Linked DNA regions of Tamandua tetradactyla. Each later gene encodes a partner of the first gene's protein in a complex. Links are inferred from orthologs where the notes say so. Each region holds a gene or a part of one and is shown in the gene's direction. Other genes may lie near its edges.

The links.
Region 2: GTF2E2 (region 1) and POLR2G share a complex: the UniProt entries of both Homo sapiens proteins name them as parts of the TBP-based Pol II pre-initiation complex. The link is inferred for Tamandua tetradactyla from reciprocal best matches to the Homo sapiens genes GTF2E2 and POLR2G.
Region 3: the proteins of GTF2E2 (region 1) and GTF2E1 are in contact, whole or in part, in a crystal structure (PDB 5GPY), measured with the Homo sapiens proteins. The link is inferred for Tamandua tetradactyla from reciprocal best matches to the Homo sapiens genes GTF2E2 and GTF2E1. Residues at the interface, in NP_002086.1 of Homo sapiens: Asp159, Gln160, Arg161, Gly162, Leu163, Gly164, Gly165, Leu167, Leu190, Val192, Asn193, Arg194, Pro195, Ile200, Phe202, Cys208, Gln209, Phe210, Ser211, Val212, Asp213, Glu215, Phe216, Gln217, Leu219, Trp220, Arg221, Val223, Thr224, Val225; in NP_005504.2 of Homo sapiens: Arg16, Lys19, Tyr20, Val21, Arg23, Gly24, Phe25, Tyr26, Ile28, Glu29, Leu32, Arg39, Leu51, Leu52, Lys53, Phe54, Asp55, Gln58, Gly68, Asp69, Lys70, Phe71, Lys73, Thr98, Asn101, Val102, Val103, Lys104, Tyr105, Lys106.

What each region holds. Positions count from the first base shown.
Region 1 is NC_135352.1:12,981,081-12,986,526, forward strand, and holds the start of GTF2E2 (transcription initiation factor IIE subunit beta), read left to right. Parts: upstream 1-1,684; 5' UTR 1,685-1,817; intron 1,818-4,705; 5' UTR 4,706-4,709; coding exon 4,710-4,875; intron 4,876-5,446. UniProt on the Homo sapiens protein: Recruits TFIIH to the initiation complex and stimulates the RNA polymerase II C-terminal domain kinase and DNA-dependent ATPase activities of TFIIH. Both TFIIH and TFIIE are required for promoter clearance by RNA polymerase.
Region 2 is NC_135335.1:11,826,579-11,832,024, reverse strand, and holds the start of POLR2G (DNA-directed RNA polymerase II subunit RPB7), read left to right. Parts: upstream 1-2,254; 5' UTR 2,255-2,357; coding exon 2,358-2,369; intron 2,370-2,484; coding exon 2,485-2,594; intron 2,595-3,288; coding exon 3,289-3,448; intron 3,449-4,695; coding exon 4,696-4,746; intron 4,747-4,843; coding exon 4,844-4,909; intron 4,910-5,014; coding exon 5,015-5,086; intron 5,087-5,276; coding exon 5,277-5,310; intron 5,311-5,446. UniProt on the Homo sapiens protein: Core component of RNA polymerase II (Pol II), a DNA-dependent RNA polymerase which synthesizes mRNA precursors and many functional non-coding RNAs using the four ribonucleoside triphosphates as substrates.
Region 3 is NC_135336.1:25,107,881-25,113,326, reverse strand, and holds the start of GTF2E1 (general transcription factor IIE subunit 1), read left to right. Parts: upstream 1-1,559; 5' UTR 1,560-1,690; intron 1,691-1,696; exon of another isoform or gene 1,697-2,642; intron 2,643-5,446. Other genes in the region: RABL3 (rab-like protein 3), read right to left, coding at 1,395-1,440.

The sequences.
Region 1 (5,446 bases):
AAGGAAGTATCTGGTATGTCTTGATTAAAGGTTGTTGGCAGTGGAAGCTGGAAATAGGCTAACTAGAAATGGGGTGTGGGGGATTTTACGTGAATGATTTGGGGAATGTGCTGGTTTGAAAGGATGTATGCCCCCTAGAAAAGCCATGTTTTAATCAAAATCCCATTTCATAAAGGTAGAATAATCCCTATTCAATACTGTATGTTTAAAACTGTAATCAGATCATCTCCCTGGATGATGTGTTTGCCACGTGCCCTTCCAGTAGCCATGTTCTTGATGATGATTGAACAATGATATAGCTTTCACAATGAGACTCTGTGAATGTGAAAACCTTATTCTGATGCTCCTTTTAGCTACTATATCAACAGAAGAGCAGAACATATGGAATAAAAATAAATAATAGGGGGAACAAATGTTAAAATAAATTCAGTTTGCAATAGTGGTAAATGAAAGCCAGGGGTAAGGGGTATGGTACGTATAGTTTTTTTTTCTCTATTATCATTTTATTTCTTTTTCTGTTGTCTTTTTATTTCTTTTTCTAAATCGATGCAAATGTACTAAGAAATGATGAATATGCAACTATGTGATGATATTAAGAATTACTGATTGTATATGTAGAATGGAATGATATTTAAATGTTTTATTTGTTACTTTTTTTTAATTAATAAAAAAAGTTAAAAAAAAATCTGGGTCCTAATCAATTGTTACATAAAGTTACATTTCCTGAGGGCGTGTGATAACCATAAAGCAGGTTTATTAGAAAATGCTCTAGGATGAAACTAATTAAAAGAGCACACATTTTGGCTTTAGTTTCGAGTTTTGACCAACATGTGTCATGTATTATCTAATTAAATCTTCACACAATGTAAATAACCCATTGTGTTAATTTTCCCAAATAAGTTATTATTTTCCCAATAACTTAACCTAGACACAGGTTAAGTTATTTGAGGAGTAACCAGTACTAAGTAATTAAACAACGAGAGTGGTTAAGCATCGTCTTGGCTGCAACTGTAGGTTATAAGAGAGAGGAAAGGACAGCCCCAGGAAGTCTGATCTCCAGCACATTGCACCATGAGGGCAAGGCCGAGGATCTTTTCCCTTGCTTTATGTCCACTCCTTTATGTTGCCTGCAAAATCCGAAATGCTTTCCCACAGAGTTCAGAGTTGTAGTGGAAAAAACCCTGGTTGGGAGTTCAGAGACTGGGACAAATCCTCCACTTCAGGAGCTGTCTTTGCTAGCTGTGCCGTCTTGAGCAAATCATTTAGCTTCACTTTAAAAAGAAACGGCTGGGACAATGTACTCAGAGGTTCAGGTGCTGAGGACTGGCATTTGAGGTAAAGTCACAGTAGCCTTAAATCTCTGCAAAGGAAATATATTTCTTCCATATTCCTTTGTGCGGCCCCATCCCGCGCCGGCCCCAAGTCTGGTTCTCAGTCCCACTACCAGCCACCCTCCCGTTGTCATGGAGATCTGAACGCCCGAGAAAGGCTGAGTCCCCGCCCCAGGTACCTGTGGCCTGGCTCGCGAATGCGCACGCGCGTTCTCGGCAGCGCCGGCGCCGCGGTGGTTGCTGGGACTCTGCTCCTAGCAGCCCGATCAGGAAGTGGCGGGCGGAGCCCCGGGTCGCGTCGCCGCCTCAGCCGCCGCCGCCAGTGCCGAGACCCCGGCGAGCGGGTCAGCGCTGGGTGCGCGCGCGGGCAGGCGGGGGCGCTGACGAGGAGCAGGAAGGGGCGGCCGCGCCGGTGTGGGCGGCTGGCCGGGGCGGAGGTGCCCGAGAGGCAGCGGCGGGTCGCGTGGGGCGGCCCTCCTGGCTCAGGTAGGGGCTCTGGCGGCCGGCAGTGGGGCGCGGACCCCCAGCCTGTGGTTCCTCGGGACTGAGGGGGGCGGGAGTGTGTTCCACCTCCCCGGGAGGCTGGGGTGCCGTCCTCTGTTCGAAACTCCTCTAAACACTGTAACGATTCCGTGGGAGCATTGTCCTTTAGGCCGGAGCGTACATTTAGCAAACTTTTGGGTTGGAAAGAGGGAAATTCGCAATCGGACGGCTGATTTGTTCCTTTGAGTGCCTTCAAGTTTACACCAGAAGCATTTAAGCGAACTTTGGTATCCAGACAAATAAAGGCTGTGATTTAGACACATACTCGTCCACGGACTATTTCTTAGGCTGGCTTTTGGAGACCTAGTTGGTACTGACTTTTCAAGTTTAATTCTCATAGTTTTGTGCAAAGGCTAAAGACTTTTTTGTAAAGCAGAAAAGCTGCGATGCCTTTCCGCGCACCTCTACATTTCTGTCGTCTGGGAGGGAAGCAGCTTCCTCTCAGCCCGCCGGCTGTTCGTAGCAGGGTGCTTGGGTGTCAGTGGCACCCTCGAGGTTTAGTCGGGGGAAGCAGCAAAACAGAAGAGTAGAAAGGTTGAAAGAGGTCGGATGGTGTAGTGGAGAGGACCTGTGCTTTGGAGCCAGAAGATTTTGGTTTAGTTTTTGGCTTCTCGATGTTCATCCGTGGAAGAATACAACAGCAAACGGAACCTGTGGGGTGGTCATCGTGGTTTTTTTTAAATGTAAACATGTGGGTGGGGATGTGTCCAGTCTGATCGAGATGTAAACCTCAATGGAAATGTTTTTGTAATCCGAGAAAAGGGAAGAAGTGGAGAAAAGTTAGGAAGAGCATGCAGTGGTGAAAGAAAGAGATCGAGAAGGTGCCACCCAGGTCGCCTTTGTTTGGAGGCCTTGACCTGCTTTCCAGGTCTGGTGTAAAGAGCACTTAACCAGGAGTCAGGAGATTCGGGTCCTAGCCCTTTTTTTCCAGCTGTGTCGCCTTTGCTGTACCTCTTCACTTCAGATTTCACATATTAAAGGAGAAATAAACCTGATGCTTTATTATTTCATAGAGTTGTGAGGATCAAAGACAGTAAGCCTTTAGGTCTTTGTGAACAGTAAGGCTTTATTTAAACTTGTGTCAAAATCGTTATTAAAAGCTCAGATTTATTATGTTTGTAGGTGAAATGAACAATAAAAATTGAAATACAAATGCTTCCTGTTTTAGGAGATTACGATCTGCTTGTTGCCCCTACCATGTCACTTGTGAATTCTCATTCCTTATTCTCATACTGACACTTTCCCTCTTCCCAAAATATTCTCCTCCCTGCCTTGCCCCAGTATAGCCATTCTGTTATTTATTTCCAGATCCAATTCAAATAGTAATACTGTAGTGATGACCTTTATGTATATAGCATGGAGCTTGAAGTTTTTAAAAATTGCATTCAAAAACATTTTTTCATTTTGTCCTTATAATTGGGCCAAACATAAATAGTGCTGAAAGTATCCTCCTTTTACTTATGGTAAAATTGGATTTAGAGAGGTCTAGGGGATTGCTTAGGGCCATGCGACTCTGGGAACTGAAACTGAGACAAGAGGGCTGGCCTTTGACTTTGGGCCCAGTGACTTCACTTTTTACTTAACCACTTTTTGCTTAACTCTGTTGCTTATCGACACTTGTGTTTTTAATACTCCGAATCACATTTTATTTATTTATTGCTTTTTATGCACCATGCTTGTTTACCTTTGTGTTCTCAAATGTAAGCTGCTTGAGGGCAAGGATTTATCTTCCAGACCTTTTAAAACTTTGGAGCACAATGCCTCACAAACAGAAGATGTTTAATAAAACATCTTGTTGAGACCAGTAATCCTAAGGCTAGAGCAATTTAATGATTTTTAAAATTTGTTATTCACTTAAATATTTATTGAGCTACCTTGTGCTTAAAACCTTTCAGTGTTTGAGATGGAATCCTTTTTCTCCAGGATCTTACTGAATTATGAATACTAATCTTAACAATGTCATACTCATTCACATAGCTTGAGCTCTTTCTAGATCCTCTGCAGGCATCTATGAAGATTTCAGACAAGAGAAGAATGTTTTTGTAAATTCTTGTTTATTGATCTGTAGCTTCCTGGTTTAGCTAAAGTTTTTAGACTTGTCGAATTTTAGAATTGAGAAAAATCCCTGAGGGGCTAATTTAGTCCAAGCCTCCCAAATCAGGAATTTTCTGTAGATATTTCTAACAGATACTCATCTAGCCTCTTCATCACTAGTTAATTGAGAGTTCATCAGTTTTTAAGGTACATAGTTTCATATATAAGCACTTGAGATTACCCTTTCTCTCTCTTTTGTTTTTGTTTGCAATGGGCCTAAATCTACTTCCTGATTTTTTCTGCAAAGTCCTGATGTTGTTTTCTAGTGCAATGTTAAAAGAAACAGGTGAAATGAATTTTAATATTCTATTTAACCCAGTATATCTAAAATATCGTTTTAACACATAATCAATGTAAAGTATTTAGGTGATTGTTATATTTTCTTTGAAATCTGGTGTGTGTTTTACACTTAGAATATATCTCAATTTGGTCTAGCTACATTTCAGGTTCTCAATTGGTACGTGTGGTTAATGACTACTACCATACTGGACAGCACAGCTGTAGAGTTTAAAAGAATAATTTTACTTCTTTTTTCACTCCCTAGCACAGTCCTTGGCACATAATAGGCACTAATTAAATATGTGTTGGATGAATAAATGAGTGAGTAAATACGACAATTGTTAGAGAACTTATAAAAGGTGATTTTGAGTTGTAACTCTTGTTGAGAGCTATGTATTTGGCAGATGGGTTTGAGTGATGTTTGTGTGTATTGAAGATATTTATTTTTGTCTTTTCAGCAGCATGGATCCCAGCCTGTTGAGAGAAAGGGAGCTGTTCAAAAAACGAGCTCTTTCCACTCCTGTAGTAGAGAAACGTTCAGTAACTTCTGAGTCATCATCATCATCATCGAAGAAGAAGAAAGCAAAGCTAGAACATGGAGGGTCATCAGGCTCTAAACAGAATTCTGGTTAGTTAAATTGGCTGTTTAGGACTGTTTAGTTTTTTTTTTTTTCAGGAAATTATTACTGAGGTATAATTTATATGCCATAAACTTCCCCATTTTAAGTGCACAAGTCAGTAGTTTAATAAAGTCACGGAGCTGTGCAACCATTACTGCAATCCAATTTTGGAACATTTCCACCACCCCAAAAAGCTCCCTTCTGCCCATTTGTAGTCACTCCTTTCTTAGTTTGCTATGGCCGCTGTAACAAAGTATCACAGACTAGGAGGTTTAAAACAATAGAAATTTATTGTCTCACAATTCTGAAGGCTAAAAGTCCAAAATCAATGTGTCGGCAGGGCCATACTCCCTCTGAAACCTATATGGGAGAATGCTTCCTAGCTTCTGGTGATTTGCCCATAATTCTTGGTGTTCTAGTTTGCTAGCTGCCGGAATACAATATACCAGGAACAGAATGGCTTTTTAAAAGTGGAATTTAATGAGTTGCTAGTTTATAGTTCTAAGGCTGAAAAAGTGTCCCAATTAAAATAAGTCTGTAGAAATGTCCAATCTAAGACATCCATCCAGGGAAAGATAC
Region 2 (5,446 bases), on another chromosome or scaffold:
TTGTAAATGTTCAGAAATGGATAGCACAATACTATGTGATGGCAGCACAATACTGAAAGTGTAACAATGCTGAGTGTGAGGATAGTTAAAAGGGGAAGGCCAGGGTCATACATGTCACTAGAAGGAAAGCTAGAGGATAAAGCATGGGACTACATAATAAAGTGAAACCTGTAATAGACAATGACTGTGGTTAACGGTACAAATATAAGAATGTTTTTACATGAACTATAACAAACGTTAGTATTACAAGGTGTTAATAACAGGGTGGCATATGGTAAAAATTACAATTAATATGATCTATGGACTATAGTTGATAGTAATATGGTAATCTTCTTTCATTAATTGGTAACAAAGACACTAATACCAAAGCTAAGCATCAATAATGGGAGGGCTTAAGCGATATGGGATTTTTTTTTTTTAATAAATGAGAATGTTCTCATATTAATTGTGGTGGTGAATGCTGTTCTAGTTTGCTAGCTGCTGGAATGCAATGTACCAGAAACAGAATGGCTTAGTGGAATTTAATAAGTTGCTAGTTTACAGTTCTAAGGCCAAGAAACTGTTCCAATTAAAACAAGTCTATAGAAATGTCCAATCAAAGGCATCCAGGGAAAGATACCTTGGTTCAAGAAGGCCAATGAAGTTCAGGGTTTCTTTCTCAAGTGAGAAGGCACATGGTGAACACAGTCACGGTTTTTTGGCTGGGAGGGCACAAGGTGAGCATGGTGTCATCTGCTAGCTCCTCTCCTGGCTTCCTATTTCATAAAGCTCCCCGGGAGGCGTTTTTCTTCTTCATCTCCAAAGCACTGGCTGGTGGACTCTCTGCTTCGTGGTGCTGCAGAATTCTCTGCTCTCTCCGAATCTCCAGCTTTCTCCAAAATGTTTCCTTTTTTATAAGATTCCCATAAACTAATCAAGACCCCCCAAATGGGTGGAGACACGTTTCCACGTAATCCACTCCTGATTGAGTCATATCTCTAGGGAGATGATCTAATTACAGTTTCAAACATACAGTACTGAATAGGGATTAGAAGAAATGGCTACCTTTACAAAAGGGGATTACGATTAAAACATGGCTTTTCTAGGGTACATACATCTTTTCAAACAAGCACAGCAAGTAAGGTTATCCTTTGGGGCAGGCTGGCCTGAAAAAGAAGTGAGGGAGTCAGGGCTGTTGAGGCACACTGGTCTGCTTTTCCTGATGGGGGGGAGAGAGAATTCCCATGGAATCTGAGCAACTGACAGGGAGCCTCAACCATCTAGCAGATGGACAGCATCAAAGGGGATTGGTGTGTCTTCCATATTATGACAACTCCAAGGAAGTGCGAGGTCTCTGTTTTTGCAGAAGGGTAGATCAGGGTCTTCTACTTACAACATACACTTAAACGACCGTGGGGTTTTTCAAGGCTACGTGGATTCCTCTGGCTCTAGAACCAAAGCTGCTCTTGCTGAACCTTTTCCATAGTTCTGAGGCTCATCGTGTTTCTGCTTTTCTCTTTCTGGCTTTTTTATCAGTCAGAATCTCAGCAGGAAACAGATTGCACACTCACTCTGGCTCATTGATGTGGGTTTAATAAAGACGCCATCTACAAAAGTGTGGGCAGAATTGAAGGAACTGACAAGTCTCGACAGTTCTCTAGGGATCTTTGTGTGCACCGGGAGCTGTAGGGACCCGGTTCTCCTCGCCGTGGGAGGGAGCGCGCCCCTCTGGACCCTGACTCTGGATGCTCCATTTGTACACCCCCAGCGCCTGGCTCAAAGTGAGCACTCAATAAGTGGTTTGTTGAAGGGACAAGCGAATGAATATTTGGAAAGCCTGAATGTAAAGGCGTCTTGGAATCCAGCGTTCCTGAAATGGATTCCCGGTCCCCCTGTGACTCTGAGCCTGCGACCACATCTGTAAATAGGAATTATAATAAAACCTGCCTCATGGGGATGCTGTGTGAATTAACTGAAGTAACAGCTACTTACTATGCTCTGTGAAAGCAGTCTTCAAATTGCTTGCTGAATGAAAGCATTCTGCTAAACGCCCTACTTGGGTCGTCTTTCATTAACTAAGTAGTTCCGTTTCGAGGCATTAACTGAGCATGTATCATCCGCCAGGCACTGTCAATTTATGCTTGTCCTGAAGGTTTGACGGCTGGTGGGCGGGCCAGAGGGCGGGGCTTCGTGGTTCCCTGACCTGCCCCTCCCAAACAACGAAGCCCAATCGGGTTCGCGGAGGGGGCGGAGTCCCACCCCCGCCGCCGACGTCTGCCCGGAAGCCGGGTTGGGGCGGCTACGGGTATTTCCGGCGGAAGTAGAAGTGCCGCTACCTCCGTAGGTGAGGTACCTGCAGTCAAATCTCCTCCGAGAAGATGTTCTACCACGTGAGCGCCGCGTGGGTGGAGGCGAGGGCCTGGCGGATTGGAGGGGCTAGGGGCAGCCTCTCACCCCGTCTCCCCACGGCGCTTTGCCAGATCTCCACTCCACTTGCCCCTGCAGATCTCCTTGGAGCATGAGATCCTGCTGCACCCGCGCTACTTCGGCCCCAATCTGCTCAACACGGTGAAGCAGAAGCTCTTCACCGAGGTGGAGGGGACTTGTACCGGGAAGTGAGTGCCCTCTGCCTGCAGCCCCCTCCCCAACTTCTCATCCTGCGAGGGCTTGTCACCCATTCTCGGAAGCCCTGTCATCTTCCCGGGCACCCCAGGCAGTCAGTTGCCCCCCTGGTTTGGGTTTCTGCGAAGTGCCCTCTGCAAAGCTGGACAACTGGACTTACCTTGCTCAGCTGAGATTGGTCATTCATTTAACAGATTTTTCAGCTTGACCTGAAAGAGAGTTTGGGGAAGGAAAGAAGGCCCTGCAGAGAGGCCTCTCAGAGATGACGTGAAAGAATTAGGGTTTAACGCCAGGACAATGGAGTACTCGGGCCTCCAATTTCAGAATAATCTGAAGCGTTTCTTGAAATGCAGGTTCCTGAGTCTCATCTCAGCCGTGCAGAATCAGGTCTCTGGGAGTCTGCATTTTAACAAATTCCTCCCAGAGGAATCTGAGGGATCCCAAAGTTTGAGGTCTTTTAACTCAAGGGCTGCAACCTTGGACATATGTTTTGGGATTCTGAGCACAGCATTTGGCACTATGGAGAATTGTTACCGACGTGTGTCGTGTCTTCTTTATTGGTCATTAACCGCTCTGAAGACAGGAGTGCTGCCTACTTTCCCTTTGTGTCCCCCCTTTTATCCCCCAGCTGTGGCTTTAGAGGGCCTTCTGCAAACAGCACCTTTCTCTTTCTCATTCTCCTCGCAGGTATGGCTTTGTAATTGCCGTCACCACCATCGACAACATAGGGGCTGGTGTAATCCAGCCAGGCCGAGGCTTTGTCCTTTACCCAGTTAAGTATAAGGCCATTGTTTTCCGGCCCTTCAAAGGGGAAGTCGTCGATGCCGTTGTCACCCAGGTCAACAAGGTGAGGTCATGTTTTGGGGAAGGCAGTGGGCTGGTCCTTCCAAGGTCTAGGTTGGGTTGTGATTGATTCCATTTACTAATTCTGTGTCCTTGGGCAAGTCACAACTTTGCGCTGCAGTTTCCTCCCTGTGTTAAATGAAACATTAACACCTGAATCTATTTTTTTATTATTTTTGAATTTTTTTTTAAATACCAAAAAACACCAAACAAATGCAAATGTTCATAATTTTTTTATCATTCCGTTCTACATGTATAATCAGTAATTCACAATATTGTCACATAGTTGCATATTCATCGTCATGATCATTTCTTGGAACATTTGCATCTATTCAGAAAAAAGAAATAAAAAAAACAGAAAAAAATTCATACATACCATTACCCCCCATCCCTCCCCGTCACCGATCACCAGCATTTCACTCTAAATTTATTTTAACATTTGTTCCCCCTATTATTCATCTTTATTCCATATGTTTTATTCATCTGTTGATAAGGTGGACAAAAGGAGCATCATACACAAGGTTTTCACAATCACACAGTCACGTTGTGACAGCTATATCATTATACAATCATCTTCAAGAAACATGGCTACTGAAACACAGCTCTACATTTTCAGGCAGTTCCCTCCGGCCTCTCCACTGTATCTTGACTAACAAGGTGATATCTACTTAATGCGTAAGAATAACCTCCAGGATAACCTCTTGACTCTATTTGGAATCTCTCAGCCATTGATACTTAATTTGTCTCATTTCACTCTTTCCCTTTTGGTCGAGAAGGTTTTCTCAATCCCTTAATGCTGAGTCTCAGCTCATTCCATTTCTGTCCCACATTGCAGGAAGTTTCTCACCCCTGGGCGTCTGTTTTAATAGTTATAACAATAGTAGTTAGTGTTGATTGAGGGGTTGCTGTGGGCCAGGTAATGTACATGGCCTAACAGTGACTGGCAGGTGGGATCTTTTATCACTTTTTATAGAAGCTGAGGCTTAGAAAAGTTAAGTTTACTGACCAGCATCATGTGGCCAGCAGTTGGCAGTGTTGGTGTTCAGATTCCAGGCCTAATTTGACTGCTGTGCTGTATTTGCTTAATTTAAAATGAAAGGATTTAAAATAAAAAGGAGAAAGGGGAAAAAAAAGTTGTAAACAAGAGTGATTAAAAAACATGAAGAATATTATTAATACTCGGATAAAATGAGCAGCTTAGAAGACTTTGGGGAGCAGGAGGTAAAGCAAGAGCATTCATTTTCCTTCTAGGTGGGACTCTTCACAGAAATTGGGCCCATGTCCTGCTTCATCTCTCGACATGTAAGTTTAGGGCTTGCAGGGTGGGGCTGAGCCACCCACTTGTGGCCATCTACTTAAGCGTCCATGCAAAGCATGGATCCGGTCTCTTTCTTTTTAGTCCATCCCATCAGAGATGGAGTTTGATCCTAACTCTAACCCACCGTGCTATAAGACAATGGATGAGGTGAGTGGGCACGAGGAGGTCAGTGTGAGGGAGGACGGAATGAGCCACTCTGAGCCAGGGGCACTGGGCTGGCAGTTCTGAGTACCACCGATCGCTTCTCCCCAGGACATTGTGATCCAGCAGGACGATGAGATCCGCCTGAAGATTGTGGGGACCCGTGTGGACAAAAATGACATCGTGAGTCTCTTGCCTGCTTCCCTGCCCAGGCAGAACTGGGAGCTGCTGATTTCTCACCACCCAGAATTCCAGAATCTCTGTGCTCTTCTTCCAGGAGGAGGGGCTGGGTGGGCAGAAGACCTGGGGCTGGGAGGCGGAGGATGGCCTGTGCCTGCTTGGCTTCATTTCCTTTTTACCTTCCCTCCTGCAGTTTGCTATCGGCTCCCTGATGGACGATTACCTGGGTAAGTGGCTGGCCGTGGCTGGCCATGCCTGTCAGGGCTGCTGCCTGCAGAAGGGCTGGGTGGGGGCAGCGTGGATAGTGGGCTAATCCCTGAGTCGCAGCCACAAAGCTCTCACATGGTCTGCTTGCAAGATCCA
Region 3 (5,446 bases), on another chromosome or scaffold:
AGCACCTAATGCAGTGCCTGGTAAGCAGTAGGCACTCAAGCATTTGGGGGGAAGGGAGGGGAGGGAAAGAATAAATCTACTAGTTCCAACAGTATGTAACATGAAAGATTGTTAGATATAATATAAAGGGAAAAATAGGTGAGAGATAACCATGTTCCATAACATGAAGAAGTGCTACCAAGTGCTCTGGATTCCAGGCCTAAATCCGATTTGGTCTCTTGCCAAGTCTCTTGCTCCATACCTTATTTTCTTCATCTGCAAAACTAAGCAATCTGATTAAATTAACTTCAGCACCATTTCAAGCTCCATGACAAGAACTAGAGCTGACATGGTTGGTTTTTGCTCATGGAATTTCATAATACATTTCTTAGGGGCCTATTAAATTAATGCTTTCCGTGAAATACTTCGTAATTCAAAAATCTTCAGACAACGTGAAAACAACTCCCCATCTCCCAATTTGATATAGTTTTTGTAAGCTAGTTTTCAAACTCTCTGAAGTGAGTTCTGTCCACCTCCAAGAATCCAGCACAGTGTCTGCTCAGTGCACACACTCAAGGGTCAATTCAAGAAAAGCACATCCACTAAATTAACATTTATTTCGGGTTCTTAAAGAGTTTGGGATTGGGTATTACTGTGGGGAGAACGTGAGCAAGATATTAAAGGGGGGATGCAGATTTCAACTCTAGTTATCAAAATTTCAAGGTGTCAAAGAAGAATTTTAATACTAGGATTCCGTTGGGCTCAGCATTAATTATTAGCTGCTCCAGAATATGAGTCTTACCTTCATTTCTCTATTTCTCACAACCGTGTGCGTAAGTTTCAATGAAGTTTAAACGAGAAAGAAAATCAAGAAGCTCAAGTGAAAACAAAACAGGACCACCTATTTTATAAAGTTAGGTTTTCAAATGAGAGCGGATTCCGGGGTTCAAACTGGCTTTTCACAATCTCTCGGCCTCACTTTCATCACCTGTAGGGTAACGGCGCCGATTTCAAGATTAAATAAGTTAATATATGTAAAGTGCTTGGAACAGTGCCATTCTTAGCGGACGTTTGACTTCCTTAAAGAACAAAGTCTCTTCAAGGCGCGGTCCTACTAACATCTGTATCCCTAGCTCGGTGCTATCTTCTAAGACAAAAGAACTGATAATACATCTCCGTCTGAGTGAAACGCGGTGAAGGCGGAGCAGGGCCCGGGTTCTGCGCACCTAACCCCCGCGCCGCCGCCGTCTAGTCAATGCAGCAAAGTCCTCTGGGAAGTGTAGTTTTTAGACGTTGGAAAAGACTTCAGCCACGGGCCAAAGAGACAATTAAGCTGGGGGACAAGCAGTAAAGGGAGGATATTATCTGATAACTTAACAATGTCGGGCGCCCCAGAAGCGGGTTGAGCCACTCACCTGAGTCCCCCAACACCAGCACCTTCACACGATCCAAGGAAGCCATCTTGCCACCACCTTCCCGGGGTCAACGTCAGTTATAGGACGCTAGGCCAATTAGAGCCGGCCTGAAGGGCAGAGCCTTCGATTTCATTGGCCGGCCAAAGCGTGACTGCAGGTGAATGTAGGGAGGTGGTTTCCAAGGCTTGTCGCAGGAATAACGCGTTGACGTTGGCGCATAAGTGTCGTAGCTCGTTTAAGCCGGTAGTTGAGGCGCTGAAGGAAGCTGTAGTGGGAGTGTTCGAGCGTTCGCTTCGGTAAACCTTGTTCCCAATTCCTTGTTCCAGGTTCCCTGGCTCGGGGTCGCATTTTAGGCTTTCTCCTCCTTTTCACTCCTCTCTCCTTAACCACCCTCTGCCCTTTACCTACACTTCTAACCTGGACCTCTTTTTGGTCCTTCAAAGAACCATTAACCTCGGAGCAGCCCTTGTGCGACCGCGTTTTGGTTGGGTTTGGCTGCGCTGGGTTTGGTTACTGGTTTCAGCTGGGAGAATCCAAGGGAGTTTGGGGGCTCTGGGTCTCGTAGTGGGGAGGAATGAACATTTTTGGACCGGGCTAGGGAGGGCAGCTGGGTCCGGATGTTTGCCGCGAAACATGGGAAGGCGTGGAGAGTGCTATGAAATATGGTAATTATGAAAACAGCAGTTAGGTTTATAGAATCCAAGAAATTCTAGAACTGGAATACTTTACCGAAGTAACCTAGATTCCTCTCATCCTCTCTTTTTTCCTTTTATACTCCACTTTGCAGGGAGCATAATTTTTTAAAATCGCGAATTTGGTTCTTTCACCTTCTTGTTAAAACCATTTGAAGTTTAATAAAAGGCAACAGCCTTTCTTTTCTGGAAGCAGGAATGGAATAAATGAGTTGGGGAGGAGCAAGAGTGGGCTTGTTGGAAGAACACGTGCCTAGGTTATCTATTGAAAGTTTATGGTAATACTTTACTAACTGTGCTGGATCTGGGAATTCATTGGTAAACAAGATAAAGCCTTTGCTCACAAAATAATGTTTTAAGGGTGGGGAGAGAGATGGAGAAAGTAGAACTCTACTCTAAAGAAAGGAAAAGAGCCATAGGAGCGACTTAAAGAAGATGATTCTAATCTAACAAGAGAAATCTGGGAAGGCCTCTCACAGGAAATGTCATTTGAGATTTGAAGGATAATCAGAAGAAGGAGATTTGGACTTAGCTCTTGGGACAGATTGAATAGCAGGTACAATGACTGAAGTGGGAGAAAACCTGTTTGGCTCATGAAATTGAAAGATTGTCAGTGTGGCTGAGGCTAGGCTGACAAGGGTAAATAGAGGGCAGAGAATGCATTCATTTCAAATTTGTTTCTTTAGCTCTATGCTGGTGAACAGTAGTCCCTAAATGTTTTTGTGATTGGAATACATGTGGGTAAATGGTAGCCCAGCCTGTGTTTGGGTGTTTAGGCTGGTTAGGGATGAGGCTGGCAGGTATTTTGAATAAAAAGAAAAAACTCAGAAGTCACACACTCAGAAGGCCAGCCAAGCTTCTAACCTGTCTAAACGTGCCAACTGCGGTCACCTTCAGGTGCTTATTTGCATGTGGGGATGTGGTCTTTTTTTTTCTCAGATATTTTCAATTTTCAAGAGAAGCTGGAAGTTGAAACGTGTGAAATTTCACAATTTTTAAATGTTGGTAACTACAGAAATTTTTCAAGACTTTTTTTAGGTCAAACAATATGTGTATAGGTTACCACTTGAGACCTCTGTTTTAAGTTACTTTAAATATCCAGAGATTGAGTGGGAGATTCAGCAGGAGTGGGTAAGTAGAAATGGTGGAGTAGGGAAGTCATTGGTCAGAAGAAGAATTTCAGAATACGGAGATTTTGAACACAGTAGCACAGCACTGACTTCTTTCCTGGTTCATTTCTTTTGTACAGCTCTCTGCTGTGCATCTTTCTAGTGGTATTTCCTCAAAGATAAACATCTGAGTGCACACTGCTTCCAAACCTACTTTTCTGGTATTACCTATTTCTCAGATAATATTTATATATCAACCTTAATATAATAGCCGAAGACAAATAGCTATTTTTAAATTTTTCCTACTCTAATACCCCATTTTCAATATATTGTTAGTTCCTTTCAGTTTTGTTTCTGTATTGTTTCATTCATCCTGTCCTTTTCTTGGAATTTTTGGTTTTATTTTTTTTCTCCTCCCATTTTTGTTTTCCTTAGTTTTGACTTGATTGCTGTAGTTGCTAATACTCCCGCATTTTCTCCATTTTCACTCACTATAGACCGTTCCTCATATTGTTGAGTCACTTTTTTCTTTTTATTTATACTTTATTGTTTTTTTTAATTTCTCCCTCATTTTTTAAAGGACAGTTTTGCTGGATATAGAATTCTTGGTTGGCAGTTTTTCTCTTTTAATAATTTAAATATATCATCCCACTGTCTTCTTGCCTCCATGGTTTCTGCTAAGAGATCTGCGCATAGTCTTACTGGGCTTCCCTTGTATGTGATGGATTGCTTTTCTCTTGCTGCTTTCAAGATTCTCTCTTTCTCTTTGACCTCTGACATTCTGATTAGTAAATGTCTTGGAGTATGTCCATTGGATCTATTCTCTTTGGGGTATGCTGCGCTTCTTGGATCTGTAATTTTAAGTCTTTCATAAGAGTTGGGAAATTTTCAGTGATAATTTCCTCCATTAGTTTTTCTCCTCCTTTTCTTTATTGTTTTTTTTAATGCAGTTTTACTGAGATATATTCACACACCATACAATCAAGAGTCACTTTTAAAAATCTTATAAATGGCAGTACTTAGTTGTACTGTATTATGGTGCCAACCCTGAAAGAGAATTTTCCTTGAATTATTTCATTTAATCCATACGTCAACCCTGTGAGGAAGGCACTTTTAATCACTTTTTATATGAGGAAACTGAGTTTGGGAATTTTCCAGGGCATAGGGGTAGGAAGTAGAACTCAAATTCAAAATCCACTATTGTTGGATTACAGAGTGTTTATGTCACATCCATGTTTAAATCTTCAGAGGCCCCTCAAGTGTATCAGGCAAAGAAAACAGGCTGGTAAGTGACACTGGGACTTCCCTATGCAGAACGTGCATCGGAGGGATATATAATAGCCTGGTGCCCAGTTTGTCAGTGGTCAGTGACTTCTGTGTACATTACAGCCGCTTAAAGAGGTTTTAAAATTAGTGTGGTGCTTGACTTGGCCCTCCAAACCAGCTGAAAACAGAGTCTCTGGGAATGAGGTTGAGGGTTCTTATTATTTATTCTCCAGATGATTCTGTTTTATAGCCAGGATTGAGAACTGCTGGTCTGGAGCACAGAGTGTATTATGTATGTGTGAGGGTAGGGTAGGGGGTGAAGGTGACAGTGGAGAATCACTAGTAGGAAATAACTGAAAATTAGGTTAGAGGAAGATCATGGATTAGGCTAAGGTCTTTATTCTGTAGGTAATAGGGAGCATTATGGTGTGTGCAGATGGATGGTCTTTGGGAGATGCCCAGATATGTGTTTTAGGAAACTAGCAGCAGTGTGAAAGAAGGACTGGAGGAGGGGAAGGGGTAGGGACAGGGGCATGTAATAGATGAGATTTTATTTAGGACAAAGTGGAAAAGGTGTGATTGCAGAGGCAGTTGGGCTTCAGCAGATTATATTTGGGACGGTAAGGGGGAAGATAGCTGAACAACCAAGAGTACTGGAAATAGAGAGAGACTGTTTACTTAAATGTAGGGTGACCATATTCCCAAATTTCCTGGAGCAAGGACTGTTGTGGATAGATTTCCTGCTGTTAATTATTTTTAGCAACCCCATCCATTCTCAAGTGCCCCAGTTTGGACAATAAATTTTATATCCTCATCTTAAATGGATTTTGAGGTTGAAAATGACAGCTGTTATTTCTTTAGCAAAGTAGTCTTTAGAGACATATTGAGCACAATCAGTTTTTGATTACACATGCTAATGTGTAGTAGCAAGTTGAATAATTCCATAAAGTAGCCTAGAAGTTATGCTTGTTATTTGATGACAGAG